2 linked regions of the Ovis aries genome follow. The protein of the gene in region 1 interacts with the protein of each later gene in a pairwise test. Links are inferred from orthologs where the notes say so. Each region holds a gene or a part of one and is shown in the gene's direction. Other genes may lie near its edges.

Region 1 (14,876 bases):
AGCCCCTTCAGTGAGAACTGTTAAACCCAGTGATTATGCTGATGGGGGCTAAAGGATTTCAGGGAGAAGCGAGCGCTGCGTGGGCTGGAGCAGGGGGAAGGCTTCCTGGGGGCGGGGAGGCAGGGAGCTGTTTCTAGGCGTGGAGCAGCTCCAGTCATGAAGGAGCCATGCATGTGCTCTAGGCAGCTGAGCGCCTTCCCTGTGGCTCCTGACCAGGCTGGGCACCCTCACCCTTTGCCAAGGGGCCAGGAAGGGGCACAGAGCATGGGGCGGAGAGGAAAAGGATCAGGGGGGTGCCTGCAGGATGCAACACTGGGGTGACCGTCTGCACACACCCCAGTCGTGGGCTTCTGGGACACAGCTGGCCCATGTGCACACACGTCTCACTTCTCTCCTTGACCGTGGGCTCCTCGTTCCTTTCTGTACCCCTCCACCCACCCTGCAGCGCTCAGACATCTTTCTCAGGGAATGTGCCAAAGAGAGACCCCAGCTGCTTGCGGGGGTGTGTGCTGACGGGTGGTGGGCAGTGGGAACCAGGCCTCCACCCTTGCTCCCTGGCTCCCGCAGGACAACAGGCAAAGTACCCATGCTTCAGCCCAGCCCAGCCGTCCAGGGCCACACGACACTGTGGTTTACAGGCAACCGTGTGTTCCAGCCCAGCTCTTTCTAGCTACACAATCATGGGCTAGTTAACTAACCTCGCTGAGCCTGTTTCCTCATCTATTCAGTGCTGACAATCAAAGTACCTGATTCCTTCTGCTTATTTAATGTTTTTACTCTTTAATTTTTTGGCTGCACCGCACGGCATGCAGGATCTTAGTTCCCGGACCAGGGATTGAACCCACACCCCCTGCAGTGGAAGCCTACAGTCTTAACCACCGGACCACCAGGAAGTCCCCCTAGTTCCCTTTAGCCCAGCGTCTGGCACATGAAAAACGAAATGTTAGTCAATGTTATTACTATTATTATGAACAAGAAAATGGGAGGGAGCGGGGACACCTCCACCCAGCAACCAAAAAGACAGAAGTCCTAGATCAGAATGTGAGGGAAGAGGAGGGATGCAAACTCCCCAAGGGTTGACTCACCGCTCATACACTGAGCGCCTAAGGTATACAAGGGAGACACCAAACCAAAATGGAGCTTAGTTATTTTCTCAGGGGAAAGAAAAGACATGTCCACAGTTCCAGTCCAAGGGAACACAAAAAGGCCCTAAGTAACCTACCAAGTGTTCTGCAAATCCAGGGGAGGAGGGCTCACCCCCATCTAAGGGTTTGCAATGGGCTTTAGGAGAGAGGCCATGAGGTTTGGCCAAGAACGGGACCAGCAGAGATAAAGGAGAAAGGGGAAAAACCACAGATGAGCAATACAGATCCTCCATCCCCTCCTCCTCTCCGTCCCCACCCCACTTCGGCAAACCCCAGTCACACTGTCAGGACTTGTCAACCATAGAAGGAGGCCAAATGCAATTGGAAATCAAAAGTAGAAAGTGCCTACTTTCAGAGGTGCCTGGCCCCATGCACCCCGATCCTTCTCATACTCTTTCCCAACCAAACACTTACACCTGTGGTCCTAGAAAGTCTTAAGAAATTTTCTTCTCAGTCCTCTAGTAGATAAAGGCTTTCTGTGGATGAGACAGTATCTCTTCCATCAGACTAAAAACTACAAATCAGGGATGTCTCTGGCAGTCCAGTGGTTAACACTCCATGCTTCCAGTGCAAAAGGCTCAGGTTTGATCCCTGATAGGATAACTAAGATCCCACAGGCTGGGCAGTATGACTAAAAAGTAAAAATTAAAAAAACAAACTAAAGATCGGCAAGGAACTCATCAGCTTCCTCTGAATTTCATCCCTCTCCACACTCCTCGTAGAAGCCCTTCAGCCCCTGGTGTGACTGACTTGTGTGTGTATCACCTACAGCTAAGCTGCCCAAACCACCTCAGCATGTCCGCTTCCCAAGGGCACGGGGCCTGGGTGGGGCACCCAAACCTGCCCAGCTCAGCTCCCTAGGAGGTACAGTGCCTTCTATACTATTACTAACCCAACGTTCAGAATCTCAGGCCCTGAGAGGTTATGGGGACAATCCAGAATCAGAGCCGCCTGGCAAATCTCCATCGGCCCCAGGATAAGGAGTCTAATTGATAAGGTCAGAGATGGCACAAGCAGCAACCTAGCCAATCAGAGGGCAAAGGAAAACAAGACACCTCTGGGGTCATAAAGGGGGTAAAGAAAACACCAGGCCAGAGCTGGCACCCACCGCGAGGGGCCAGCCCCGGGGAAGAGAAGAAGCTGGGGGAGGCTGGAACTGGTATCCTAGCATCTTCTGTGTGAGTCTGTACCTCAAAGGAACCACACCTCTGAGTCAGACCTCAGCAACAGCAGGAAATAGAGGGTACAAAAAGACAGGAATGAAGAAGATGGGAAGGCAGTTCGGAGGTAGAGGAGGAAGGTGAAAGAAGGTAACATCAAGAAATGGCCTGTCAGGACACCAGACAAAAAGCAAGGGTGTCCAGGGGTGGCTTGCCTGTGGGCTAAGAAGAAAAGCTATATCTATCTGTGAGGGCAGATTCCCAATTTGAGAATAGTATGGCCCTGGAAAGACAGAAACCCAACACTGGTACAAAAAAGGAAAAATGCAAAGGTTATTCTCAATTAGGAATAAGGGGACGGGCCTGCCCAGATGATGAAAGGTGACTGGTTTAGGATGAACCTGGGAGCGGGGTGATGCCTGTTAGCAACGCTTTGGTATAGAGGAGGCCTTTAAGTCAGGAGACCTGATATTACAGATGGGCCTCCAGGAGGCTGTGTGACCTTGGCCCAGTCCCTTCCCCTGCCCCCCCGGATCGAGGCCTCAGTCTCCTCATCTGTATCATGAGGGATTGCACTGAATGCGCTCAGACACCTTGACTTCCAAGGTTCCATCAGCAGAAGGAAGGGTTCGGTCCTGGTTTACAAGTTTGTGTGTGAAGGAAGAACTAGAGGGAGGGGCCTAGGCCAGATTCGGTGGAGGAGAGAGAAAAGCAGAGAGAGCTGTTCTAGGTCAAGGAGCTTGGCGGGGAGGGAGAAGGTTGCTCTAAGGGACGGTGGAGAAGGCAGGCCCAGGCCCAGGCCCAGACGGGTGAGAAGAGGAGGGTAGAGAAGGGGCTGCGCGGGGCTGAAGAGGGGGGGCTAGTTCTGGAGGGAGGTGCTGTCTCAAATAAGCGCCTGTCCCAAACGGCAAACGGGTGGGGGATGGGGAGGTGATGGGGGGAGAAAAAGCAGGAGAGTGACCTGGGAGCGAAGCAGGATCTGGAGGGAGGAGGTTACCCTGGGCCGGGGGTCGGTGGAGAGGAAGGGAGGTGCATGCGGGGCGGACTCTATCCCGGACAAGGGTGGGAGCTTTCTCAGCTGCGGCAAAGGCTGGGGGTGCGACGAGCAGCGGGGATGGAGGGCTGGCCCCGGGGAGTCCTGCGGGGGCCGGACGGGAGGGTCTGTCTGGGGCTGTCCCGGGCCTGGCTCGGGCCCCTCCCAGAGTTCCGCGCAGGCCCCCGAGGCGAAGGCGCGGGGAAAAGGACCACGCTCACCTTCTCCTTCTTCAGTTTATAGGGCATCTCGGCCCGTCCGGACCCTGCCCGGCTCCTGCGGCCCCGCTCCGGCTCCGGCTTTGCTCGGCCGCACTCGGCCCGCTCGGCGTCTCTTCGCCACCGCCTGCGCGCTGCGCCCGGGTCGAGCGATGTCTGTGTTCCAATTGGCCCGAACTCTTACAAACCTGCCTGACAACCAGGCGCCGCCTCCTCCGATTGGTCGCTGGAAGCAAGCGGCTTCTTTTTTTTCTCATTGGAAAGGAAGAGTACAAACCGCCAGGGTTCGACTCCCAGAATTGGCTGAAGTGGGAGGTCCCGCCCTAAAGGGGGTCGAGCTTAGCGTGAGAGGCGGGGGTCAAGGGAAGCCCGGGCTTTGCACCGAGTGCCGCACTTCGGCGTCTGGTGTGCGTTGTCTTCGGCCATTCTTCGCAGCTCGTTCCGCTCTAAAGTGGCTCTCACTCTTTCCCCACTGCGACTCCGCCCAGTCCGAATTGAAGGAAAGAAGCCTTAAAATGAAGGGTACCTTTCTTCATCAGGGTAACGTGACACTGATTGCCTACGTAAAATTGTAGAGAGCTCCCAGGAGTCCTCGAGGGCCTGTTTCCTAGAGGAGGCTTGAGGAGGATCAAAGGGGAGGCCTGGCAGGAAGGCACCGGGGTGAAATGAGATGAGAATCCAGGATTTGTTCCAGCTTTGGGAATAGGATCCCCATTCCTACTACAGCTGTCCTAGGGTTGGGGAACCAGCTGGACACGAGCATTTGGGAACGCAGTGGACATGCTACCTCATTCTTGAGCGTCTCGGGAAATATATCCCTTACTCTGGTTAAGCCAGTGTCCTAAAGGATAAGATCAGTTCCTGCCCCCAAGGAGTTCACAGCATGGTGGAGTTCACAGCCTTGTATAAACCTATGATTAAGATACAATGTAATAAATTACACCAAACTAGAGAAGTGGCTAGAGGAATGTTTCAGAAAGTCAACTTCCAGCAGCAAGTTGACTACATGAAGACACTGAGGAAGGCTCAAGAATAAGCCTGTGGTCCTTGCCCAAGAGAGCAGTGTTATAGGGCAGTATAGGCATGGAGAAGAAATGACAACATTGGGAAACGTGTAGAACTAACAGGATTTGGTGAGTAATCCGATTGCAAAGAGAGTGGTAAAGGAAAAGGAAGAGCTCAGGATGACTTCTGAAAGCCATCGAAGATGTGAGAGTAAACTGTGTGTCATAGTGACAAAGGAAGTATAAGAGGATTGGTCAGTAATGTCAAATTCTAGAGAAAAGTTGCTCAAGATCGAACAGCATTAAAAAAAAAAAAAAAAGACCGAATAGCATCAGGGCTTCTCTGTGGTTAAAAATCCACCTGCCAATGTAGGGGACACAAGTGCAATCCCTGGTCTGAGAAGATTCCACATGCCACGGGGCAACTAAGCCCACAACTACTGAGCCCACACTCTTAACACCGGTGAGCTGCAACTACTGAAACCCACACTCTAGAGCTCATGCTCCACAGCTCGCAGCAAGAGAAGCCACCTCAATAAGCCTGCACACTCTCAACCAGCGAGTAGCCCCTACTTGCCTCAACTAGAGAAAACCTGCACAGCAACAACCCAGCACAGCCAAAGATAAATAAAATTATTTTTAAAAAGGTTACAGATTATCTTTGCAGGAAAGTTTCAGAAGAATGGAAGGAAGGTTATAGTGGGTTAAAGAGTGAGCAAGAGGTATGGAAGTAAAGGCCAAAAATCTAGGCTGCTAGCTGTCTTACAGAAGTAATTATTTGACTTTCATTGACTAATGATGATTTCAAGATAATGCAGAGTGGACGACATGCTAACCATTATTTGCTCAAGGAAAAACCTATGAGAAAAGCACGTTTATCTGTGAATAGATATTTGCATCTATATGGATGCCAACCCAGGCAGGGTACCAGATATATTTACCCATTTGCAAGACCTCAAGGAACACCATAGCTGGCCTTATTCTGTGTAAAGGAGGCATATTCTCTTTGGAATCACTCCACCATCCTCTCAGTCCTTGGATCTCTGTCTTGGGGACAGAGCCACGTAACAGTTTCAAAGTGAAGTCGCTCAATTGTGTCTGACTTTGCGACCCCATGGACTGTAGCCTGCCAGGCTCCATCAGTCCATGGGATTTTCCAGGCAAGAATACTGGACTGGGTTGCCATTTCCTTTCTCCAGGGGATCTTCCTGATCCAGGGATCAAAACTGGGTCTCACGCATTACAGGGACTCTTTACTGTCTGAGCTACCAGGAAAACCGCTAAGAAAGTGTGAAAGTGTTAGTCACTCAGTCATGTCCGACTATGCAACCCCATGAACTGTAGCCTGCCAGGCTCCTCTGTCCGTGAAATGGGACCGTTCATCCTTGTAAATTCAGGTACCTAGTACATTCTTGAAAGTGAAAGTGAAAGTCGCTTAGTTTAGTCCGAATATTTGCGGCCCCATAGACTAAACAGTCCATGGAATTCTCCAGACCAGAATACCGGAGTGGGCAGCCTTTCCCTTCTCCAGAGGATCTTCCCTACTCAGGGATCGAACCCAGGTCTCCCACATTGCAGGTGGATTCTTTACCAGCTGAGCCACAAGGGAAGCCCAAGAATACTGAATGAGTAGCCTGTCCCTTCTTCAGCGGATCTTCCCGACCCAGGAATCAAACTGGGGTCTTCTGCATTGCAGGTGGATTCTTTACCAATTGAGCTATCAGGGAAGCATGCTGTTTTAAAGATGTATAACTTGGCAATTTCAGGTTTAGGACTAGAGGTACATCTAGTCCTATATCAAACATTAAATTTTTTTTCTTGTCTTTCTAGGGATAGAAATACCTTACAATATGTAAATCTTATAGTAACCTCCCAGATTTTCAGGAAATTTTCAGGAATGCAAAAATGTACAAAGTAGAGGATTGCCTTAAGATGAAGGAAAGGAGAAGGTTGGGCAGAGAAGGCAAGAAAGAGAATGCAAGGTCCAGAAAGAGGATATTGCCACCAACCAATCCATTGATTCTTTTTAGTTTTCGGTCACACTGAGCAGCATGTGTGATCTTAGTTTCCTAGCCAGGGATCAAACCTGTGACCCCTGCAATGGAAGCACTCAGTCCTAACCCCTGGACCGCCAGGGAATCCTCCAAGCCATTGATTCTAAATGCAAGTATACTGTTAATAACTGGGAGTGTGGCCAGCTAGTGTTCAGGTGTCTATACAGAGCAGTGGAGGTGTGGACAAGGAAGGACTGTTAAGTAACAGCCCAGATGAGAAACAAGCTGTTGGTCTGGTACTCAATGACTGAAGCCTTGAATCTCTCTCTCCTGCTTCATCTGCTGTTCATTCCTCTCTATGGTGGAAATGGGAATGGATCTCCAGTCTACAGGGAATGAGGAGAGAGAACATCTAGTTTTGGAGAGATGAGAAAGGGAAGCTGCTTTGTGTTTGTTTCAAGTTTGGTGGGAATAGAATGAACAGGACAATAAGCAGGACAAGAAACACTGGAACGTGGGTTTTGTGTAGAATGTGTTGGAACAGGTGTGGCAGCACCAAGCACTACAGGGCTACATGAATCATTTGCAGTAATTCAGCCAGCAGCTGCTCCACATCCAAATGCCTGTCTGAGACATATAACCCTACCACTCCCTCCTGCAACCTTCCCGCAAACCTCCAAACCTCAATGCCTATAGTTCCACGAGTGGACACCTTCCTAAACACTATACCCACAGCTCCCAGCAGTGGGCCAAGTTTGGTCCAGGGCACAATGATCGTTCACTGATCATTCAATAAATTGTTGAGGACATGCCCGTGGGGAGGTTAGTTGGCAGACGTTACTCCCCAGGCGGGCGCGGAAGGTAAATCCCTGTACACACGTCTCACAGGCGGTGTGCGTGGACCACCCGACCACAGTGACTGTGTGACTGCCACCGAGGCACCTTTCAGATCGATCCAAGGCGCAGCTCACCCTCCTGGAGCACGCCCTTGCACCCGCCGCCCCGCCCACTTCCCTAGGGCCTCCCCTGCCGGAAGCGGAAGCGGCGTGTGATCCTCCGGGACGTCTAGCTCTCAGGCTCAGGAAGGCGCCCTTCTTCGCTGTGCTCTTTGGTCTCCTGTCACCATGGCACTGGCAGTCTTGCGAGTCCTGGAGCCCTTCCCGACCGAGACACCCCCTTTGGCGGTGCTGCTGCCGCCCGGGGGCCCGTGGCCTGCTGCAGGGCTGGGCCTAGTGCTGGCGCTGAGGCCTGCAGGGGAGAGCCCGGCAGGGCCGGCGCTGCTGGTGGCTGCCCTGGAGGGACCCGGCGCGGACACCGAAGAGCAGGGTCCGGGGCCCCCGCAGCTGCTGGTTAGCCCCGCGCTGCTGCAGCTCCTGGCTCTGGGCTCCGGGGCGTGGGTGCGGGCGCGGCCGGTGCGGCGGCCCCCGTCGCTGGGCTGGGCGCTGCTTGGCACTTCATCTGGGCCCGGACTCGGACCGAGAGTCGGGCCGTTGCTGGTGAGGCGCGGAGAGACCCTGCCCGTGCCCGGACCGCGGGTGCTGGAGACGCGGCCGGCGTTGCAAGGGTTGCTGGGTCCAGGGACGCGGCTAGCTGTGACTGAGCTCCGTGGGCGGGCCAAACTGGGTCCAGAGGCTGAGAACAGCAGCCGGCTCCCTCTCCCGCCGGTGGTGTCCTCCTTCGCGGCCTCTGGCACAGTCCGGCGACTAAGGGGCGTTCTGGGAGGGACTGGAGATGCACTAGGGGTGAGCCGGAGCTGTCTCCGCAGCCTCGGCCTCTTCCAGGGCGAATGGGTGTGGGTGACCCGGGCTGGAGAGTCATCGAACACTTCTCAGCCACATCTGGCCACAGTCCAAGTCCTAGAGCCTCGCTGGAACCTCTCTGAAAGACTGGGACCCGGCTCTGGGCAGCCGGGAGAGCCTCTCGCTGATGGACTGGCCCTTGTGCCTGCCACTCTGGCTTTTAATCTCGGCTGTGATCCCCTGGACGTGGGAGAGCTCAAAATCCAGGTAGGATACAGGACTGAGATCAGGAATGCTTCCTCCTCTTTTTCTCTTCTTTGCCTTAACTGAATTGGAAGATGAGAGCTGTAAAATTTAGATCCTTTACTCCTTAGAACTTGGACTTTTCCCTTAACACCTCTTAGCCTTATTTATCCATTCTCTACAATTAAAACATGTTGGTTCATGGAAGGGCTTTCACTGTTCAGGTGAAAGGTAAGAATTACAGCCAAATTACCATGTGTCTTAATGTACTAAATCTAGTCAGTTATTTGCTAAATTGTTGCAATGTATCCAGTATTGTGGGCTTCCCAAGTAGGCAGAAATCCACCTGCCAGTGCAGGAGGTGTGAGTTTGATCCCTAGGTCAGGAAGATCCCTTGGAAGAGGAAATAGCTACCCACTCCAGTATTCTTGCTTGTAAAATCCAATGGACAGAGGAGCCTGGTGGAAGTTGGACATGACTGAGAAGGCGCACACACACATCCAGTATTGTATTGGGTAGTATGGAAAATCATACCCCCATCTTTTGCTCATGCTGTCCTTGACTTCAAGTTCCCTTCTATTCTGCTAACCTTCTCCTCCTTCAAGGCCCTTCTACAGATACCACCTGCTTCTTAAAGCCTTGCAAAATCTCACACCACAGATTTAACATTACTTTTTCCTATAGCATTTCGTACCTTTCCAAGAGCTTTTATTTTATAGTTTTGTTATGATCACGTACTCTAATTCTCAATTGTATATTTGTCCTTGAAGGGACGGGCTTTTTATTATCCTTAGTGCTTGGTGTTTAATTTTAATATTAGATTAAATACATCCAAGAGGAGTTTTTGCTTTCTACTTTTAAGGAACTTACTTCCAGAAGATAATTGTGTTCAGGGTGACAAATATAGTCTACTGTTTAATTAAGCACCTGGATGTATGATTTAGGCCTACACTGACCAGTACAAAAGCTGCTAGCCCCTGGCTGGTTCTTTAAATCAACTGAAAGTAAGTAAAGTAAAAAATTCAGTTATTTGATTGCTTTAGTCACATGTTGCGTTCAGTAGCCACATGTAAATATAGAATTTTTCTATCACTGTAGAAAGTTATATTAGGTAATGCTGGCATAGCCAGTTAGTGCTGTGGAATGTCAAGAAGAGAGAAAAGATGTGCATGAATGGGAGTCAGGTGTGGCTTTCCTTCTAAATGGAGGAAAAATACTGGACTCAGACAGGAGCTCATTCACCTGACCCCGCCCTTTCGGCTTCAGTGTGATCATGTCCTTTACCTGGAGCCTGAATTCAGTGTCCTCACTAATGTCCAATTAATGTTCCCAGTGGCTGCGTGGTGTCACTCAAATGACTTGTGGGAGTTAAATGTCTTTACCATTTCACTGGCTCTGGGCCAGTATAAAGGTGTCACAGAATGGTTATCATCACTGGTGAACTCTTTGGAGCTAGAGTCAGGAAAATCAGAGTCAGAAGTCTCTTCCGGGTGCCCATTAGAAGGAGAGGTTTCTGTTTTCTAAGGAAGATATAGGTCTTCAGCTCTCCTCTCTTAGGTCTCCCGTCTCACAACCCTTGTGGTTATGGGAAGGATAAAGGGTGAAAGTAGAAGTGTTGGTTGCTAAGAGACTGGGCAGAGCCTGAGTCCTTGGGAGAAGGTTCTAAGGTGGTGATTATTTCTCTCATAGAGGTATTTGGAGGGCTCCAGCACCCCTGAAGACAAAGGAAGCTGCTCAGTGCTGCCTGGGCCTCTGTTTGCCAAAGAGTTACACATCGAAATTGTGTCGTCTCCTCACTACAGCACTAATGGAAACTATGACCATGTCCTTTACCGGCACTTTCAGACACCCAGGTTAGCCGCTTCCCCCTTGCAGGAGGGTAGCACACCACCCTCAATGAACTCCTCCTATCCCAGACCTGAGATTCAGATACCAGAAAGCCTCTGATTTTAAAAAGCCACAGTTTAAGGCAGTACGTGGCTAGAAGCCTCCTGGTGTGTCAGATAGTCAAGAGAAATCTGGGCCAGGAGGGTAAATCCAGACATTCTAGATTGAGAAACCACTTTGATTTGAGGAGGCCCCCCAAAAAGCCAGGATCCTGCTTTGCCCCTCTCTCTGTTCTCTGATCTCCTCTCTGCTGTATCCCAAAGCTCTTTCTAGGTCAGGCTTCTTCTCTGGACAACTGCTTGGGGTCTCTGGGTGGGCAGTAGGCCCCCGAGAAACAGTCTGCAGGTTGAGGGCATGTGGGGATACGTCAGGCGCCTGCTATTTACTCCCATTGTGAGCTGACCAGGGCTACCGCTGTGTTACAGGGCAGTCCAGGAAGGGGATGTCCTGTGTGTGCCAACAGTTGGGCAAGTAGAGATCCTGGAAGGAAGCCCAGAGAAACTGCCCAGGTATGGAGCTGCCTCCTCTCCTGCAGCTGGGATTCTTAACCTGCGTGCAGGAGTCCTCAAGTTGAATGGAATAATTCTGTGCATAAGAACATTTTGTTGTTGTCATGCATGATTTTTGGGAGAGAAGGTACCTACTCTCATGTTCTCAAATAGGCGTGTGACTGAAAAGAAAATTAAGAGCCACTGCCTGCTGGCTTTGGGAGGTGTTTATCCTCAAATTGATTGGTGGTCCTAGGTATAGTAAAGCACTAAGAATGGTTCAATGGCCTAGTCCAAGGTGGGATTCCTCACTTTCTTTTTTTTTTTTTTTTGGCTGCACCTCGTGGCATGAGGAACTCCCCCAACCAGGAATTGAACTCACAGCCCCTGCAGTGGAAGCTCAGAGTTTTAACCCCTGAATCTCCAGGGAAGTCACCCCTGCTTTCCATTCTTTTTAAAATAATTTTTTATTTGTGTGTTTATTTTGTTTTTTGGCTGTGCTGGGTCTTCATTACTGTGTGGACTTTTCTCAAGTTGCAGAAAGCGGGGGCTACTCTCAAGAGGTGGTGCGCTAACTTCTCATTGCTGTGGCTTCTCGTTGCAGAGCACACGCCCTGGCCATGTAGACTTCAGTAGTTGTGGCTCCCCAGCTCTGGAGCACGAGCTCAATAGTTGTGGCACACGGGCTTAGTTGCTCCACGGCATATGGCAGCTTCCCTCACCAGGGATCAGATGCGTGTCTCCTGCATTGGCAGGTGGATTGTTTACCGCTGAGCCACCAGGGAAGCCCTGCTTTCCATTCTCAACCAGTGCAGTTTGGGCCACACCTCCCGTACACTGAGCCAGAGGAGCCCCGGTGCCATCATGATTTCTGCTCTAATGGATGGAATGTGGACATGCTGCTTTGCAGTGTTGTCTCCCAAGACAGGAGAGGAAGGGAATTGCCCTTGAGAAACCTGCTGTCTTTCCTTATCCTCAACAGAGAGTGAGAAAGAGAGCGTAACTGAGCCAGGGACCTAAAACAAGGAGGCCAACCTTTCTCCTCCTCCTGTTGATTCTTACTGCAGAGACTGCATATGAAATGGTAAGGCAAGGACTTCCTGTGGTTTAGACTGCACTCCCGATGCAGGGGGAGCAGGTTCAATCCCTGATGGAAGAACTAAGATCCTACATACCACATGGCGCAGCCAAAAAAAATTCAGAATTCAGAGACTGCTTGGCTATATGTGAAGGGGGAAAATGTATAGCTTCCTACCCCCAGATGGATTTCCTATAAGGATTTATTAGAAGAAGGAGACACTAACCCAACTTTGCAGGAAATCCCAGTGAGGTGGTGGGACCACCCTGCAGAAACTTGGGCACAAGAGCCATCATACCCAGGGTCTCAGGCCGAGCCAGCCTGGGTCCTCTGCTAAGAGAGCAGTGCCTTGTTTGGAGTACCTAATTCAGCTTTGGTCAACATTCAGAGCTTGGTTCTGGCCAGTGCTCAATCTCTGCAGTTTCAGGGCTGTGGTACCCAGAGGAGGGGCCTGTGGTGCCATGTGTAATTCCATTTGGTGCTCCAGGGTGCTTCTTTGAGCTTTCCCATCAGATTTACAACTGGAGCCTTGTGGAGAATGCCCGGCTGCTCTCCATCACTTCCAACTTCTGTTATCCATCTTGTGTGTGTGCATGCTCAGTCGTGTCCGGCTCTTGGTGACCCGTGGACTGTAGCCCACCAGGCTCCTTTGTCCATGGAATTTTCCAGGCAAGAATACTGGAGTAGGTTGCCATTTCCTGCTCCAGGGGATTTCCTGACCCAAAGATTGAACCCATGTCTCTTGCATCTCTTGCCTTGGCAGGCAAATTCTTTACCACTCTGCCACCTGGGAAGTCCATCTTAAATAGAGCAACTGTCTGTGAGCTAGCTCTCTGCAGGAAAGCTGCAGAATGCCCACTTTTTGTACTTTGAAAGGAAAACAGGCACTCGACCCTCCTGAGACAGACCAGTAAGCCAGTCCTGTTCCTGGACCTCCACCATACCAGCCCCTTGGAGGCCTGCCTCCATCCTCTGGGTGCTGAGCATGTAGTTCTGAAACCTCTGGGTAGGTTTGGAAAAGTAGAGCCAGGTGGGCAGACAGGTTCAAGGACAGAGATGAGTGCTGTACCCCCTACTCCTTGGACTTGGTAAGAGGCTCCCTGGATGGAGGTTCCCCTGATCCCTGGCACGGAAGTTCACTGGCATTGGTGCAGCTGGTCCGTACTCCCCGTGCTCCACCTCCCACACCAGGCCGGGGGCAGGGATCGAGCTCCACTGTCTGCTGTCTGGCTCTCAGGAACGCAACCCCATGTTCCCCAGCAGTGTCCAGATATGTTCCAGAGGTCTGGCCAATCTCAAAGAGGTGGCCCCATCCACTCTCCGTGGATGGAGAGTTGGGGCGGAGAGGAGCGGGAATTGTGAGGGGGAGAGGTGGGCGTGTCTCCCTGCCCCAGGGCTCTTCCTCCTTGGATTCCATTGGCTGCTAGATGCATCTGACTGAGGTGGTTCAGCTTGATTGAGAGTCTAGGTTGTAGACTCACCCTTCACTTATTTATGGGCTTCCCTGGTGGCTCAAACAGTAAAGAATCTGCCTGCAATGTGGGAAACCTGGGTTCGATTCCTGGGTTGGGAAGATCCCTTGGAGATGGGAATGGCAACCCACTCCAGTATTGCTGCCTGGAGAATCCCATGGACAGAGGAGCCTGGCAAGCTACAGTCCATGGGGTCCCAATGAGTCGGACAGGCCTGAGCAACTAACACAACACTAATTTATAATGAATAGCAGTAGGACAGGGAATTACCTGGCAGTCCAGTGGTACAGACTCAGTGTTTTCATTGCCAGGGCTGGGTTCAATCCTTGGTTGGGGAACTAAAATGCCACCAACCGCACAGTGCAGCTGACCAAACAAACAGAAAAAAACAGTGGGACAGCTTTCCTTATGTTCCAGCTCTTTCACAGCCTCTGGTGGTAGTCCCTAACCTAGTATGCCTCCCCTTCCACCCGAAGGCGTTCCCACCCCCACCCCTCTCTGCTGCCAGAGCGAGCAGCTGTGTGACTGTGGGATACTAAGCAAAGGAATTTGTACCCCAATTAGACCTGAATGAGGCCTAGGCTCTGCCATTGCCATGCTGCCTGAGAATTAAAGACGGGAGTAGTTCGTCTCTGTATCTGGAAAACTGGACTAGTAATTGCTGTCTGCTACCCTCACCCTCTTGGTAGGCTGAGTAAGCCTAACTCATTCTTAGACTAGCCAGTGACTGCACAGCCCTGGTTATGGCTGGGAGCTTTTAAAAAATAAAAATGCCTGAGCCCCGCCCCAGACCTATTAGAGCAGAATCAGGGTTAGGCTAGAGCCTCTGCAGTCTTTTTATTTATTTTTTTCCCAAAGGAAGGAAAATGTTAATTGTAAAATTCAGATATAATTCACATACCATAAAATTCACACTTTTAAAGTATATAAGTCAGTGGCTTTTAATATATTCACAAGGTTGTACCATCAACATCACTAATTCCAAAACATTTTCCTCAGCCCAGAAAGAAACCCCCACCCACCAACAGTCACTCCCATTCCCTCCTTCCCTCAGCTTTTGGCAACCACTCCTTTACTGAATGGAATCACAGAATGTGAGAGATGTTGGGTTTTTTTTTAAGTTTCACAGATAATTCTAATGTACAGCCAAAATAGAGAAACATTAATCACTAAATGTCATTATGAAGGAATCTGCTTGCAGTTAGATCTTGTGGGTGACTGAGGAAGAGCTGAAGGACTCTTTCTTTTGAGGTTTTAGGTGGCCTTGGTGGGTACATTTTTTTTTTTTTGGTGGGTGCATATTTGAGGGAGAGTCTGTGTTCTCAAGCTAGTGAAGACGGTCCTGGTCACTGCTTGGTGCGGCAGTGTCTTCTCCCATCGGAGTGAGTAGGCAGGAGAAACACACCCTCAGGTGA
Region 2 (14,843 bases), on another chromosome or scaffold:
TTAAATACAAGACACCACTTTTAAAAACTGTTTTTATTTAATTTTGGGCTGCCCTGGGTCTTTGTTGCTTTGCAAGGGCTTTCTTTAGTTGTGGAGTGCATGGACTGCTCTTTGTTGTGGGTTCACCATCCAGTGGTTTCTGTTGTTGCAAAGCATGGGCTCTGGGCGAGTGGGCTTCAGTAGTTGCGGCTCTTGGGCTTAATTGCTCCGTGGCATGTGGGATCTTCCCAGACCCGGGATTGAACCTGTGTTCTCTGTATTGGCAGGCAGATTCTTATCCACTGCACCACCTGGGAAGTCCCCAAAGACTACTTTAATTGCCCCTGCATCAATCCTGTTTTGGAATATTTCTCTAGTAAATAAAATCTATTGACTGGTAACAATTGCAGCATTATCTCAGATAAATACACAACTTCCTAGAATATTACACTATGTTGAGGGTCCTTCCATCAGTTTTCCCCTCCCAGGGTTGGCCTGCTACAGGAAACCATAGGTTTTTGGGAACCAGAGCTGTTCTGGGAGGGGAGGAAGGGAGCCCTGGGACAGGGGTGGCTGTTCTTAGCCAGGATCTGGGCATGAACAGCAGCTCTGGATGCTGCGACCTACCCCAAAGCTTGGGAATAGCTGGGCTGGTGAGGAAACATTTTAAGGCAGGGCGAGGTCCTTCCTCTCTGGCATGGAATGGGTCAGGGGTTCTGTGGCCTTCAGCTGGGGGACAGTGGCTGTCGCTTCCCCTCCCCAGCCTCAGCTCAGCTCCAGTATAAGACCCTGTTCAACCCTGAAATTCTATCACTTGGGGTGACTGAGTTTATTAGATTATTTCCTAGGAAACAAGGAAGAAAGCACAGACAAGAAGGCAGGTGGGCGTCCCAGGATCTGGAAATACCACGTGTCTCTCTTTTCTCGGGGGCTGCGTTGGGACATGATCTCCTCGGCTTCCAACCTTTCACACAGTGTTCACCAGTGGGCATACCTGGAAGTCAAGATCAAATGATGCAGAACAGCTCAGGGCAGGTGGGTCCCTTGGAGTAGCCCACACCTAGCACTTTGCACCATGCCAGATGCCCAGGGATCCTGAGATGGGGGCTCCTGTCCTGTCCTCAGGAAGGGCATGGTTGACTAGGGGAATGACACAAATAACTACAAGAAAAATGGATGTTGGGAAGGACCCACAAGAGAGGCATGAAAAGAGCAAAGCACAGTGGGGGGTTTTAAGAGAGGAGCGATCAGCTTGAATTGCGTGGAAGCAGGACAGATTCCGAAGGGCCCAACATCTTTCCACCTGAGCAGGGCTGACCAGTACCCAGGGAGCATCCGTTATTCACTTCACATCACGCCTGGTCTGGCATCATGAAGATTTTCTCAGGTGCACCCTCTGGCTCCCAGGGTGGGTGGGAACATGTGGAAATTGGAGGGCAGGTTGCCCAGGGCAGAGGGTAGGGGTGGTACTGGTCACCTTGAGAGCAGAGGAGGAGAAGTCACTTCTGGCCATCTGGAGAATGTCCTGGCATGGGCTCTGGTGAGAAATCTCCAGTGACTCCTCCAGCTTTGTCACTGAAACCATGAATTCTGAACTCAGACAGTTTCTGAGCTTTACTTTCCCATCTACCATTAGGAACACTAACATATCTGTGTTGTTTTGCTCAGTTTTGTCATCAAGTTCGCACAGGATGAGTGAGAGCGCCTTGTACAGTCAGAATTATCAGCTTACAAGAAAGGCTTGAGCCACACTGCCCTGTTAAAGTCCCAGCCCCGCTCTGCACTCCTGTGTGACTACCTGTTGCCTTGGCCTCTTCATCTGCAACGTGGAGGTAACAGCAGGACTCTTGTCCCAGGGTTGCTGGTGATTAAGAGGAGCTGGACGTACAGTACCTGGAGCAGCACCTGGTTCTCTGAGCCACTGTTACTATGTTGTAAGTGCTGCACGGGACAAGGAGGAGGACAAGGAACAGGCCTTGGACGCAGAGGCAGAGGGAGGGCTCTGCTGCGTCTACATGGAGGGGAGGAGCCGGTTCAGTTCAGTTCTGCCCTGAACTCCAAGTCCAGGCTTTAAAAAAAGGAGCCATAAAAATGCCATCTCACTGACGAAGGTCTGGAGCCCTTGACCACCCTGGAAAAACATCACCTCCGCCCTGCCAATATTTATCTCTTCGGCTTGCTTCTGGCCAAAGTCCACACCAGGCGTGATTCTACTGCCTGCAGAGCCATACCACTGACGTCCCTGTACTGAGGGTCTCCGACTGGAAGAGATAAGCCCAGAGGGGCAGCTGTGTGGATGCAGTCTCTTGTCACTAAGTATAGAGCCAGCTTGGAAAGGGCAGACAGGCTGGGCTGGCTCCAGAGGTTGGCATCTGACCTTTGTAAGGAAGAGTCAAGAGTCAGATTCCATGTCAGAAAGTTAAGATTACAGAACTCTGAGGAGGAACTGGATTCTTTCTCCTCCTTACTCACCTCCCAGTGTATCATCTCACCTTGTTTGGCCTGAACTATTCCAGTGATTTAAAGCATTCTTGGCGCTGTCATATGACCTCTTCTGATCCTCACAACCACCCCACACGGCAAGTGTTGGTGTCAATGTCCTCAAATGAGAAAACTGAAGCTCAGAGGACTCATCTGACTTTGCAGAGGTCCCCAGGATTCTAGATGGCATAGCTCATCTCCTAGACTGGAGCACTTTCTGCTACAGAAACACAGACTCATCACCTGCTCAGAGCAGATGAGCAAAGAGCAAATCGACACCCTCAGGACCCTGCTCAGGCAAGATACACTGAGCACCCTACAAGCAGAAGGGGGAGCAGCAGGTCCCAGGGCTTGGGTGGGCTGGGGGATGGATATCGTGTGAGTTTTGTGTCTCACTTACTCTACTAGTTTTCCCGAAACGATTCCACTGATACAAATATTGACATGACTCAGGCCTTACAGATTGAGAGAACTGCCTTGTTTCTGCTTTTATCCCTAGGGGAGGCTAGGTGGTTTGCTTATTTTAAAATACATTTATTTGCTTATTTATGGCTGCCCTGGGTGTTTGTTGCAGAGCACTGGGTCTAGGGTGCATAGGCTGCAGCAGTTGCAGCATGTGGGCTCAGTGGTTGTGGAGACTGGGCCACTGGGCTTAGCCGCTCCGCAGTGTATGGAATCTTCCCAGACTGGGAATTGAATCCACATCTCCTACATGGACAGGTGGATTCTTAACCACTGGGCCACCTGTGAAGTCCTGAGGTGCTTTCAAAGCTCTTGACTCATGAGCCCCAAGTCGTTAAGACATCTGTTCACTCTAATTCAGGTGGAATAAATTAGGATTGCTGTATCTTAGCTTGAGAAGTTCTGGATACATTCAGATGGAGCTAGGGAGTATCACCGAGCTGGTGTTCAGGGATCGGTTGGCGGGCATAGCAGTGCTAAAGTTATGTGATGAAAGACCACTGTGCGGCCCCGCACAAAGATCGGATGAAACACGGAAACAGAACACAATCCTATTTTTATATTATTTTTTGCAAGCTTCCACTTCCTTAAATATCTTGACCTCATTCTGGCAGCCACAGACCTACCTGCTGGCAGGTCAGCTTCTTTTAAGGCTGTGCTGCCGTCTCCTGGAGATGCCTGGGCATAGCAAGAGCCTTCTCCTTAGGGATTAAGAAAAGGACCTTTTTCAGGAGGCACTCCTGAGGCCAAGGCTTGACTGTGCTAGTCCCAACTCGCCCAGGCCTGATCACATCTGTTTCCTGATGCTACTACTGCTTCCCTGATTTTACAGGAATGACGTCTAAAACCAGCTCTAAGAAACAGGTTTTTTTTTGTTTGTTTGGTTGGTTGTTTTAAGTCCAATAATTATGTTATTTCTACTGATCTTCATTATCTGCTGTGAGACCCCAGGCATAACTGATAACACATCCTGGTAACTTCAGCCTTGAACCGATCCACACCTCCCAGAAACCTGCTTGCCTCTGGATTTTGCTACATGGGAACAAATACTGCCTGGAGATGAAGAGGGATTTAGGGCAGACACTAAGTACATGTTGGTCCCAAGGGCAGTGAACCCACCAACAGAGGCCAGTCTGAGCACAGGGCCAGGTTCTCTCTGCTCTTCTCCAGCCCCGGATTTACCATTAGAAAACAAAGTTAGGTGTCATCAGCGTTGTCACTCTCAAGTTCTCCTCTCTATTTTGTTTATTTGTCCTTAGTATTTATCACCATCTGACATACTACTTATTTTTAATTTTGCTTCCTTTCACTATATGGAAGCTCCACAGAGGCAGATATTTGTCTCCTGTGTTCACGTGGTATCTTCAGCCTTTAGAAGAAGGCCTGGCACTTACAGGGTGCTAGGTATATGCGGAGTGAGTGAAGGCCTGGCTTTATGGCCTTATATGGTTATGGCTCCATACTCCTCATCCGCAGAGTCTGACGGATCTGATGCTTCTGCCTCAGCCTTCAGGGAGGACTTTATGTAGAGATGAGGGCCCAGGCTGGTGACCAGAGAAGGCGACGCTGGCGCGATCAGGTGCTGACTTTGCGCCTGGCCTGACTCGTGTAATCAAAGAGGAGTCGCTTCAGGAGCCCTCAGGATAGGAACTGGGAAACCTAGGGTTTAGTACAAACTTAAGAAGCCCCGAAAACCCTGAGTGAAGCACAGTAATAAACGTAACTTGTGTCTGCGTACAACCACTTAATAATTACTATTACAGCCATAACGTAAGGAATACGTGCTCTGTGCCAGGGCTTTATTGCAAACTGCATCACACACCGTACGGCTGTTTTTCACGAGATCTCTATTTGGCAAGAGGTTTGGAGTCCCACTGTGGACTGACCGTGAGCACGACGGGGGTCCGACGGAGGCGGCACACGGACTGCCTTTACTGGCCGCTGACGGGGCTGCATCCTGGAGACCTGGGGCGCAGGTGCCGGAGGCCCACGCCTCCACTCGTACCCGGGTCCACGCCTTCCGTCGGCGAGCTTCCTCTCGCCGCAACAACTTCCGGGGCACGGCCTGCCGGGGCTTGTAGTCCGAAGTCCCTCGCCTGCCCGGGAGGACGACAGCTCCAGGAGCGGAACTACACCTCCCAGAATGCCCTGCGCCTCCGGGCACCGAGCGTCGGCCGGGCCTGCGCGCGCAGGCAAGATGTCGGCCCCTGTGTCCCCGACCCCGCGGCGGCGGCCCTGCACCTGAGACCACGGGCGGCCATACTCCAGCCGGGGTCCCAGTCCTTGTCGTGGGACCGGGTGCCCAGGGACTCAGTGCTGCACAAATCCGAGGGCGCCAGGCTGTCCCGTGCCAGAGCAGCCTGTGAGGACCACCCCTTCCTCCTCCCCAGACTGCACCGCACACCCCGCGCCCCTAGAGGGCTGCGTCCTGGCGCGCACTCATGAAGAGTGACCCCGCGACCTCCGCAGCCCCGCTGAGGGCGCTCGGGGGCGCCCTGCGGAGCAGCGAGCCGGTGCGTGCCGTCCCGGCCCCTTCGGCGGCCGCGCTTCTGCTGGAGGAGGCGGCCGACCTCCTGGTGGTGCACCTGGACTTCGGCGCGGCGCTGCGCACCTGCGAACGCGCCTGGCAGGGCCTGGCGGAGGAGCCGGCGGGCGCGTACGTCAGGGGCTCGGTTCGCCTCCGGGGACAGTGGGAGGCCTCCAAACGCCAGCACTCCGGCAGTGTGGTTGCTTGTGTGATCCTTATGCCTTGTTTTCCTCGCGATGCTTTTCCGCGAGGCAGGGACTCACCTTGTGCTGGTTCTCCGGGGAGGAAACCGTCAAGACGTGAACGGGGTTTAGTGGGACCCCACGATCAATTCTTTCTCCCTATACCAGGGTAGAGTGGTCTAATGGGAAGATAGAATTGATGTGTTAAATTACTGCAGTAAGCTGGTGGCAGACGTCCTCTCCTTCCACCCCTCCCCGAAGTAGTCCCCCTCACTCCTCGGGTTGGGGTTCAGAGCAGGAGTCGTGTTCCGGTCCTCTTGTAGGACTGGATCAAAGAATTGAAATCTTGGTCCTGCGTTGCTCATTGGATTAGGTCGCACTAGGGAGGGCGTGGGTAGACTGGTCAAAGCTGGCCCCAGAGAAGGATGAACTGGGGAGCCTTCGCTGAGTGTTTGGGGGTCGGTGAAGACTGAGTGCTATAAAGGCTGAGGGTGTGATTCTGATGCTGCGCTCTGGCGGAGACTGCTTCTGCCCTTTCTTCACTAAGCGAACTCTTAGGGCTGGTCCTCTTTCCACCCACATCTGTACTGCAGCTGTTCTTTTCCCCTTGGGAGTAAATGAACGCTTCCTGTTGGTTAACCCTGACTTTACCTGGATACAGAGACATGTGCTGGTCAGCAGCTGATTGGCCTTTAGATTTATAGAAACGTTTAGCTCCTGGGCAAAGAGCAGTTTTCTCTTGCTGGGGCTCATGAGAGGGGTCATAATTGTGAGGCCCTCTTGAATACTGGGGATGGGGGGAGGTGAGAGGTAATGGTTACTGACTTGGGAGCTGGTAAAGAACAGTCCCAGGCTAAAGGTGGGAATGGCAGTGCAGGGGAACCACTTCTGAACTCAAATTGGCTTTTTTGCTGACAGCTCCTTGGAGGTGAAATGCTCTCTGTGTGTTGTGGGCATCCAGGCCCTGGCAGAAATGGATCGGTGGCGGGAAGTCCTGTCCTGGGTTCTTCAATATTACCAGGCTCCTGAGAGGCTGCCCCCCAAAGTCCTGGAACTGTGGTAGGTCCTTAGGTCCTTACTGCTTCCCCACTGAGTCAGCGCAGGAGCAAGAGGGTTTTCCCCTGGGTCGGGAAGATCCGCTGGAGAAGGGATAGGCAACTCACTCCAGTATTCTTCAGCTCACCTGGTGGCTCAGACAGTAAAGAATCTGCCTGCAATGCGCGAGACCTGGGTTTGATCCCTGGATTGGGAAGATCCCCTGGAGGAGGGCATGGCCACCCACTCCAGTGTTCTTGCTTGGAGAATCCCCATGGACAGAGGAGCCTGGCGGGCTACAGTCCATGAGGTCACACAGAGTCCGACATGGCTGAGCGACTAAGCACAGCACACCCCTTCAGTTCTCATATCTCCTCTTTTTCTTTCCATACCATTCCCTTTAAATCTAATTCTTTCCCTTTCCCCCATCCCCTGTCCCCCTGGCGCCCTCCAGACTCAAAACATATGCATGAAAAGATGAAGAAGAAGGAATTTAGGAGTGGGATAGGGAAAAGAGGAAGGGATGGGAGACATGAAGTGGGGTGACAGAAGTGGGGGGTGCCAGAGCTGAGAGTTGCTTGCTGCTTCTAAGAACTCCTGATTCTTACCGTGTCAGTGTCCCTTAGGGAAGGACTTGAGGGCACAAAGGAGGGGCTGGGTAGGAGGAGTTTAGTGGTTATGAGAAGTTAAACCGTGAAGCATTGACCACTCTTTTTCTGGGATTGGATTATTTGGGGCTGCAGCGTTCTTTTATACAGCAAAATGCAAGAGCCTGGAGCCGTGCTGGATGGAGTCCGTGCTTGGCTTCAAGACCCTGACAACCAGGGCCTTCCAGAGTATAGATCCTTAGCAGAACTTCACCTGCAGCGAGTGCTACTTCCTCTGGGCCTCCTGTCAGAGGCTGAAGAGCTGGTGGTGGGCTCTGCAGCCTTCGGCGAGAAACAGCGGCTGGACGCGCTTCAGGCCGTGAGTGCAGCGAGGCAGCAGCAGACACATGTGCACTCTGGCTCTGAGGAGACGCGGACACTAAGCCAGGAAGGTGGGACATTGTCCTTCTGCAGCCCTCTGTGCAGAAGCTGAGGGCTTCCTCCTGGACGTGGGGTCCATCATGACCTTCCTGGGCCTTGGGAACAATGCTTTGAGTAACTTCCAGATTGCGGGATAAGAAATCTGTTGAGGTGCTTCGAAAGCCCAGCCCCTCTGCAGTTGGCTTTGGGAGGCAGGTGGTGCAGGTCTCAGAGCCTTACTTTTGTCTCCTGAAAGTCATCTCCTCCCTGGGCTCCTGTCAGTAGACCTGCCGCCACTGTGCTGGCCTGGCCGGGATGTTACTTCACCGTCTCCTGAAGCAGTGCCTTTCAGCTGTGGAGGGTTGTGTGGGGAGGTTCTTCCTGATGCTGAGTTGCAGTTTTCCTCCTGGTAGTTTTTAACCCCCTGATCTTTGTTTTCTCTGTTCGTGACACATAGAATAGGCATACACGGAGGACCTTCAGCCCTCAGGAGACTGATCCTGCCTCTGAGGTGTTTTCTTCGTGTGCTTGAGAGCAGGGACCTGCTGGGGCAGGGTCACGTCTTTGCAGGAGGTTGTTGGCTTCAGGGACGCCATGTAACTCCACCGACCCTCTGCCTGTCCAGTGCCGGGGAGGAGGCGCTCGGCTGGCGAGTCCAGGGTGTCTTCAGGGCTTGGCGGTGTCGTTCATGTTTGTGCTCAGTCCAAGGTGGGATTCTTCACTGTGCCTGTGAGGTGCCCTTTGTTTTCTGCCTTTACTGATCATCAGGAATTATTGCTATGTAACTGTGCGTATATCTTAGGCCAGAATATGAAGAATACTGTGAAGCTGTTAAAGAAACACCAGATGTACCAGGTTCCCCAGCTAAGTTGACATTTCTGTTGAAGTCCTGTCCTACAGAGCTGGTGTGGTGATGTCAGAGTCCTTTTCTACTGAGGTGGTGACTGGTGACGTCAGAGCCCTCTCCTGTGGAGCTGGTGTCTGGTGACATCAGAGTTCTCTCCTGTGGAACAAGTGTCTGGTGACATCACAGTTCTCTCCCATGAGGCTAGTGTCTGGTGATGTCAGAGCCCTCTCCCGTGGAGCTGGTGTCTGGTGATGTCAGAATCCTCTCCTACAGAGGTGGTGTCTGGTGATGTCACAGTCCTCTCGGATGGAGCTGGTGTCTGGTGACGTCGGAGTCCTCTCCTGTGGGACTGGTGTCTGGTGACATCAGAGCCCTCACCTGTGGAGCTGGCGTCTGGTGATGTCAGCCCTCTCCCATGGAGCTGGTGTCTGGTGACATCAGAGTCGTCTCCTCTGGAGCTGGTGTCTGGTGATGTCAGAGTCCTCTCCTGTGGAGCTGGTGTCTGGTGACGTCAGAGCCCTCTCCTGTGGAGCTGGTGTCTGGTGATGTCAGAGCCCTCTCCTCTGGAGCTGGTGTCTGGTGACATCAGAGCCCTCTCCTGTGGAGCTGAAGTCTGGTAATGTCAGAGCCCTCTCCTGTGGCGGTGGTGTCTGGTGTCGTTACAGTCCTCTTGGATGGAGCTGGTGTTCTGATATAATCAGTGCTGAAGGCATCTCTGGATGCCTGGGAGCTCCCTTCCAACCATTTTGTGGACTGCATGAGGAAACCAGTCTTGGCTCGACTTACACTCAAAGCTCAGAGTTGGGAAACTGCTTCTTTACTGAAGTTCTACTCTTGTCTCCCCACCAGGCTCCTCCTCCTACAAGTTCCTGTCTCTGCTGACGTTGCTGCGCCAGCTCTGGGACTCTGCAGTCAGCCACTTCTTTTCTCTGCCCTTCAGTAAGAGCCTGCTGGCCGCCTTGCTCCTTTGCCTCCTGGTGTTGAGGTTTGATCCAGGTGAGTGAGGACACCTGCCTCCCCACCCACCCTCCCAGGACAGGGCGATTGACCAGGGCTGGGCCTGGGAGCCCTCCTGGGGGTTTTGTTACTGGACCTAAACTGGAGCCAGCCCACCTTGAAGGAGAGACCAGTCCTGGAGAAAGTCCTCTCTGCCTTGTCGACTCCGGACTTCTGGGGTGAACTCTGAGTAGAGCCTCAGGGTTTGTTTATTTTGTTTTTGGCTGTGCTGGGTCTTCGTTGCTGCACGCAGGCTTTCTCTAGTTGTGGCAAGCAGGGGCTGTTCAGCAGTTGTGGTGCCACACCCAGGCTGTGGAGCATTCGGGCTCCAGTAGATGCAGTGTATGGGCTTAGCTGCCTTGCAGCGTGTGGGGTCTTCCCAGACCAGAGATCAGACACTAGCAGGCAGATTTTCAACCCCTGGACCACCAAGAAGTCCCCTCAGAATTAAAAAAGGAAAAAGAAAGCTTCATCATAATGTGTTAAAAAGTTACATTAAATTAAAACATATTATATTGTAGAAATACAATTACAATAGGAAAAATATATTTTAGAGAATATGGAAAATAGAGAAAAGTATAAAGGAGAAAACAAATCACTCTTCAGTCAGCTGCTGTAATCGTTAGTCTTTTTCTGGATGTAGATGCAGTTTTGCTTGTTGTTAAATATTCTTTTTTTTCTTCTAGTTTTATTGAGATATAATTGACGTTCATCACTTTAAGTTGTAGAGCATAATGATTTGACTTACATACATCATGAAATGATTCCCACAGTATGTACAGTGAACATTTATCCTCTCATGTAGATAAAAAATTTTTTAAATAGAAAAATAAATTTTTTTCCTTGTGATGAGAAGCTCTTAGGACTTTCTTAACTTTGGTATGTAACATACAGCAGTGTTAATTATATTCATCATGTTGTACATTACATCCCTAATACTTATTTATCTTATAACTAAAAGGACTTTTTGACAGTCTTCTTCCAGTTCCTCATCCCCCTATAAGCATTCTTTAAAACATGGCTTTAGGGAATTTCCAGGCAATCTAGTTGTTAGGACCCCATGCTTTCACTGCTGTAGGCCTGGGTTCGATTCCTGGTCAAGGAAATAAGATTCTGTAAGCCATGAATTGTGGCCCTCCCCCCACCAAAAAAAAAAAAAAGGTTTTAAAACTTTACACGACTAAATAATATTCCAGCTTTCAGTAACTTCCATAACTGATTTTACAGTGCCCTGTTTTTGAACAGTTCAGTGATTCCTTGCTGTTTCTTTGTGTGATTAATCTTTATTGCAGCGCAGTTGCTTTCCAGCGTTGTGTTAGCTGCTGATGCACAGCACAGTGAGTCAGCTGTGTGTGTACATACCCCCTCCCTTTGGCCCCCCTCCCATTCAGGCCACTGGGGCGCCGAGTAGAGCTCCCCGTGCTGCCCAGCTTTGATTCTGCACATGGTATTGATAGTATATGTATGCCAATCCCATTCTCCCAGCTCCCTCCCGCCTTCCACCGTGGCACCCATGCATTTGTTTCCTACGTCTGTGTCTCTAGTTTTGCTTTGCAAATAAGGTCATCTATACCACTTCTCTAGATTGCACAATATATGTGTTAATATACGACACTTGTTTTTCTCTTTCTGACTTAACTTCACTCTGTGACACCCGCTCGGTTCATCCATGTCTCTACAAATTTCGTTTGTCCCTTTTATGACTGAGTAATAGTCCACTGTGTGTGTACTGCGTCTTTGTCCACTCCTCTCTCAAAGGATCTCTAGGTTGCTTCCATGTCCTGGCTGTTGTAAACAGTGCTGCTGTGAACATTGGGGTGCACGTGTATTTTGAATTATGTTTATTTCTGGATATATGCCCAGTAGTGGGGTTGCTGGGTCACATGCTAGCTGTATTTAGTTTTAAGGAACCTCGATACTGTTCTCTATAATGGCTGCACCAATTTGCATTCCCACCAACAGTGTGGGAGGGCTCCCTTTTCTCCACACCCTCTTCAACATTTATTGCTTGTAGACTTTTTTTTTTTTGGCGGGGGGCGGGGAGGGGGGACTTCCCTGGTGGCTCAGATGGTAAAAGCGTCTATCTACAGTGCGGGAGACCCTGGTTTGATCCCTGGGTTGGAAAGATCCCCTGGAGAAGGAAATGGCAGCCCAGCCCGCTCCAGTATTCTTGCCTGGAAAATCCCATGGACAGAGGAGCCTGGCAGGCTACAGTCAATGGGGTCGCAAAGAGTTGGATACGACTGAGTGACTTCACTTTCACTTTTGATGGTGGCCATTCTGACCAGTATGAGGTGATACCTCTGAACATTTTGATGATTTCTTGCTGTTTTCTACTGTGCTCTTTCCCGAGGGTGAATTCCTCAGACCTTGTGAGCACTGGGCCAGAGGTTAGGAGCTCACTCATGAACTTTTCTGTGTGTGGCTTTGTGTGAGTTATAACCTAACCTCTTCTCATGAATTTAGACTTAGGGTTGCATAACTTTCAAAACTGAAAGGAGAACTGGAAACCCTTCATTCAATCCCTTCACTTTGGTTTTCTTTTTCGGTTGGGAAACCTAAGACCCAGAGAGAAGTGACTGCTCCAGGGTCACGCAGACGTTCTGTCTGCTGCTCTTCCTTTATCCCCAAATCCTGCTGCATCCCCACTTCCCTTTTTCTTGTCCGGGGGCTGTTTCTGCACAGCTCAGCTTGTGCCTTTGACCCCATGGCTGGTACCAAGCAGGAGATCCCTCTGAACAGCTCCGTTTGCTTGAGGAGAGAGTCACTGGTTAGCCCTTTGGAAAGCTGAGGAGTTTGTGTTCAGTCCTGTCCACCCTCTGACCTTTTACTTTATTCCAGAGACTTAGTAAAAATTAGAAAGATTTTTGTGGTTCTTAGGAGTCCTTCAGTCTCAGAACCCTGGTCTTCTGAGTAGGGATGGCAAAGGGCTGTTCCAGGAGCACTCAGGACAGTCCATGCAGGTTGGTGAGAGCCCGGGCTGGCTGCAATTAGAACCTGCCCAGCAGGACATGAAGAAGGTGGACTGGAATAGCTTTCTTAAAAGTAACATACTTCTTTTAAAGAAGGAAGAAAGTCTGTTAAAAAATCAGTAATTCAAATAAAGAAAAACCAGCCAAAGCCAGCTCAGCTCTCATTCAAAAGAGGCTATTTTTACTTTTATTGTTAATATAATTAACTTATGATAAAAAGAGGTACTATTGTGGCTTGGCTTCAAACTTGAAAGGTACAAAGAGGAATGCAGTGAAAAGTCTCTTCCCAAATTCATTTACATATAGGCAGCCATCATTACCAGCTTTTTAGTATTAAAAAGTTAGATTAAAACATAATAAATTTGGATCTTTTTCTCAGCAAACTGAAGTTTTCTCTCATCCACATAAAGAAAATACAACCCAGAGATTATATTCTGGAGAAAGGGAAGTTCTCTCCTGTTGGGAGAGGAGGAGGGGCAGTGGCATGGTCACTCCCCAGGTGGGATGGTTTTGGGGGGAGGAGTGGCCGCGTGGGGGGCAGGAGGGGTAGGGCGGGCACTGACTGGCCTCTCCCTGCAGCGTCTCCGCGCTCCCTGCCCTTCCTCTACAAGCTGGCTCAGATCTTCCAGCGGATCCGCGAGGCTGTGTCTCCTCCTCTCTGCCGGCTTCCCATCCAGCACTGAGTGGTCTTCCCTGCTCGCCTCAAACCCCTGCACCTGAAGCCTGCCGGAGGAGCAGAGTCGCTCGTCCTTGGCAGCCTGTTTCCTGCAGCTGGATGAGCCCTGCCAGCGCGGCCAGCCTAATTCCAGGGGCACCGTGTCAGGCTGCCTCAACACCCTCCCCTTTGTGCCCCGCTCTGGTGGGCCTGGCAGGTGTTGTGGAGACGCACAGCCCTGCAGAGAAGGGGTTGTGGGAAGAGAGTGCTTCCTCCTTGGCATTCCTTGACACGATCCGTCTTCCTGCAGAGGCAGGGGTTGGTCTTTCAGGCCAGAAGTTCACGCAGCTGGAAATTCAGAGCAAGGTCCTGGTTGGGGGACCTTGGCCTTTCACTTGCATGGAACACTTAGCTCTGAAGGTGGTTCCTGGGACAGGCTCCATAATCTAGTCTGGCTTATCACTCCCCACTCCTTGCCCAGCCCCGAGATGTGCCGTGGGCTGCCCTCTGCTCACACTGAGCGTGGCTTCCTGAGCCTCAGGTCGTCTTCTAACTGGGTAAGGGGATCTGGCAGCTGCCTCCTGGGCTGAGCTCAGTGTTCCAGCCATCAGTGGCCAAGCGGGGCTGTGTGGGGAAGTGTCTCTGCCCTCTCCCGCCTGCTGCCCCCCGCCGCCCTCAAGGTGATGGAGCGTGCTCTGCCTCGCTGGTTCCTTCACCAGCTTTGCTGCATCCCTGGCATGCCCTGTTGCTGGCTCCCCCCTTTCTGTGTCCTGTTCCAGTTATGTTCTGCTGTTCGAATAACACACAAGTGTTTCTGCTCCTCTGTCCTTGGAAAGTAGGCCAGCCTCCAAAGCTGATGCACTGAAAATGGAGCGGATAATCAGGGGAGCTGGAAGGATGTGTGGAGGGGGCTGGGCAGAGGGGAGGCTTGGGAGGCAGTGAACGATGTTACTCCTCGTCTGGGGGCGGTAGACAGTAGGGCCCTGCGATTGTGCAGCTGAAATGTTTCAGTGCTTTCTCTCAGTGGCTGCAAGAATCCTCCCTGTCTTTGTGCAGGGACGTGGAGGCCATTGCTGTGGGGCTGGGGGTGGAGGCGCCTAGCAGGCCAGGAAAACCAGGGGCTTATGAGCTTCGCATTAAGACCCCCAGGAGCTCTGGGTCAGCGGCATCGCTGTCATAAAATGATGGAGTGAGTAAACTTCAGGCCCTGGGAGGTTAAGTCCTAGGGTGTCGTAAAACATGCTGAGAGAAAGGGAGCTGATCAGGCTTGGGGATTTCTCCTTTACAGTGATTTTTAAAACCTGGTCCTGTTCGTGCCACGGATAGAACTCTTTAGCGGCTTCCCCTGGCCTGAGGGTAAAACCCCAGTTCTTACGGAGTGTAGGGACCATGGGCACTGGTTTTGGCCAGTACCCGCTCCTCACATGGGGCCTGACCCAGCCGCTGGCCGTCCCGGATTCTGAGCACCTCTGCCTTCTGTGCCTGCTGACCCTCTGGAGGCCCAGCTCCCCTCTTGCCTGGTGGGTTGCCTCTGGGAATCTTCTCCTGGCCTGTTGCATATGCTTTCTGCAGTGGTGGCCCCATGCCTTGCGACTGGGATTCTGGGGCCTCTTTGAAGCTGGGGTGTGTGACTGCAATGTTGAAGTGGGGGCAGGCTGCCCTCCCACCCGTTGGGGTGTGGCTGTTGGGAGGTGATTTAA

The links.
Region 2: the proteins of PEX6 (region 1) and PEX26 come close enough for resonance energy transfer, tested with the Homo sapiens proteins (2 studies listed by BioGRID). The link is inferred for Ovis aries from reciprocal best matches to the Homo sapiens genes PEX6 and PEX26.

What each region holds. Positions count from the first base shown.
Region 1 is NC_056073.1:16,614,144-16,629,019, reverse strand, and holds the start of PEX6 (peroxisome biogenesis factor 6), read left to right. Parts: upstream 1-7,612; 5' UTR 7,613-7,678; coding exon 7,679-8,560; intron 8,561-10,225; coding exon 10,226-10,389; intron 10,390-10,848; coding exon 10,849-10,932; intron 10,933-14,876. Other genes in the region: PPP2R5D (serine/threonine-protein phosphatase 2A 56 kDa regulatory subunit delta isoform), read right to left, coding at 3,560-3,586. UniProt on the Homo sapiens protein: Component of the PEX1-PEX6 AAA ATPase complex, a protein dislocase complex that mediates the ATP-dependent extraction of the PEX5 receptor from peroxisomal membranes, an essential step for PEX5 recycling.
Region 2 is NC_056056.1:215,184,566-215,199,408, forward strand, and holds the start of PEX26 (peroxisome assembly protein 26), read left to right. Parts: upstream 1-5,098; 5' UTR 5,099-5,363; coding exon 5,364-5,578; intron 5,579-6,549; coding exon 6,550-6,690; intron 6,691-7,409; coding exon 7,410-7,705; intron 7,706-9,369; coding exon 9,370-9,516; intron 9,517-13,067; coding exon 13,068-13,171; 3' UTR 13,172-14,843. UniProt on the Homo sapiens protein: Peroxisomal docking factor that anchors PEX1 and PEX6 to peroxisome membranes. PEX26 is therefore required for the formation of the PEX1-PEX6 AAA ATPase complex, a complex that mediates the extraction of the PEX5 receptor from peroxisomal membrane.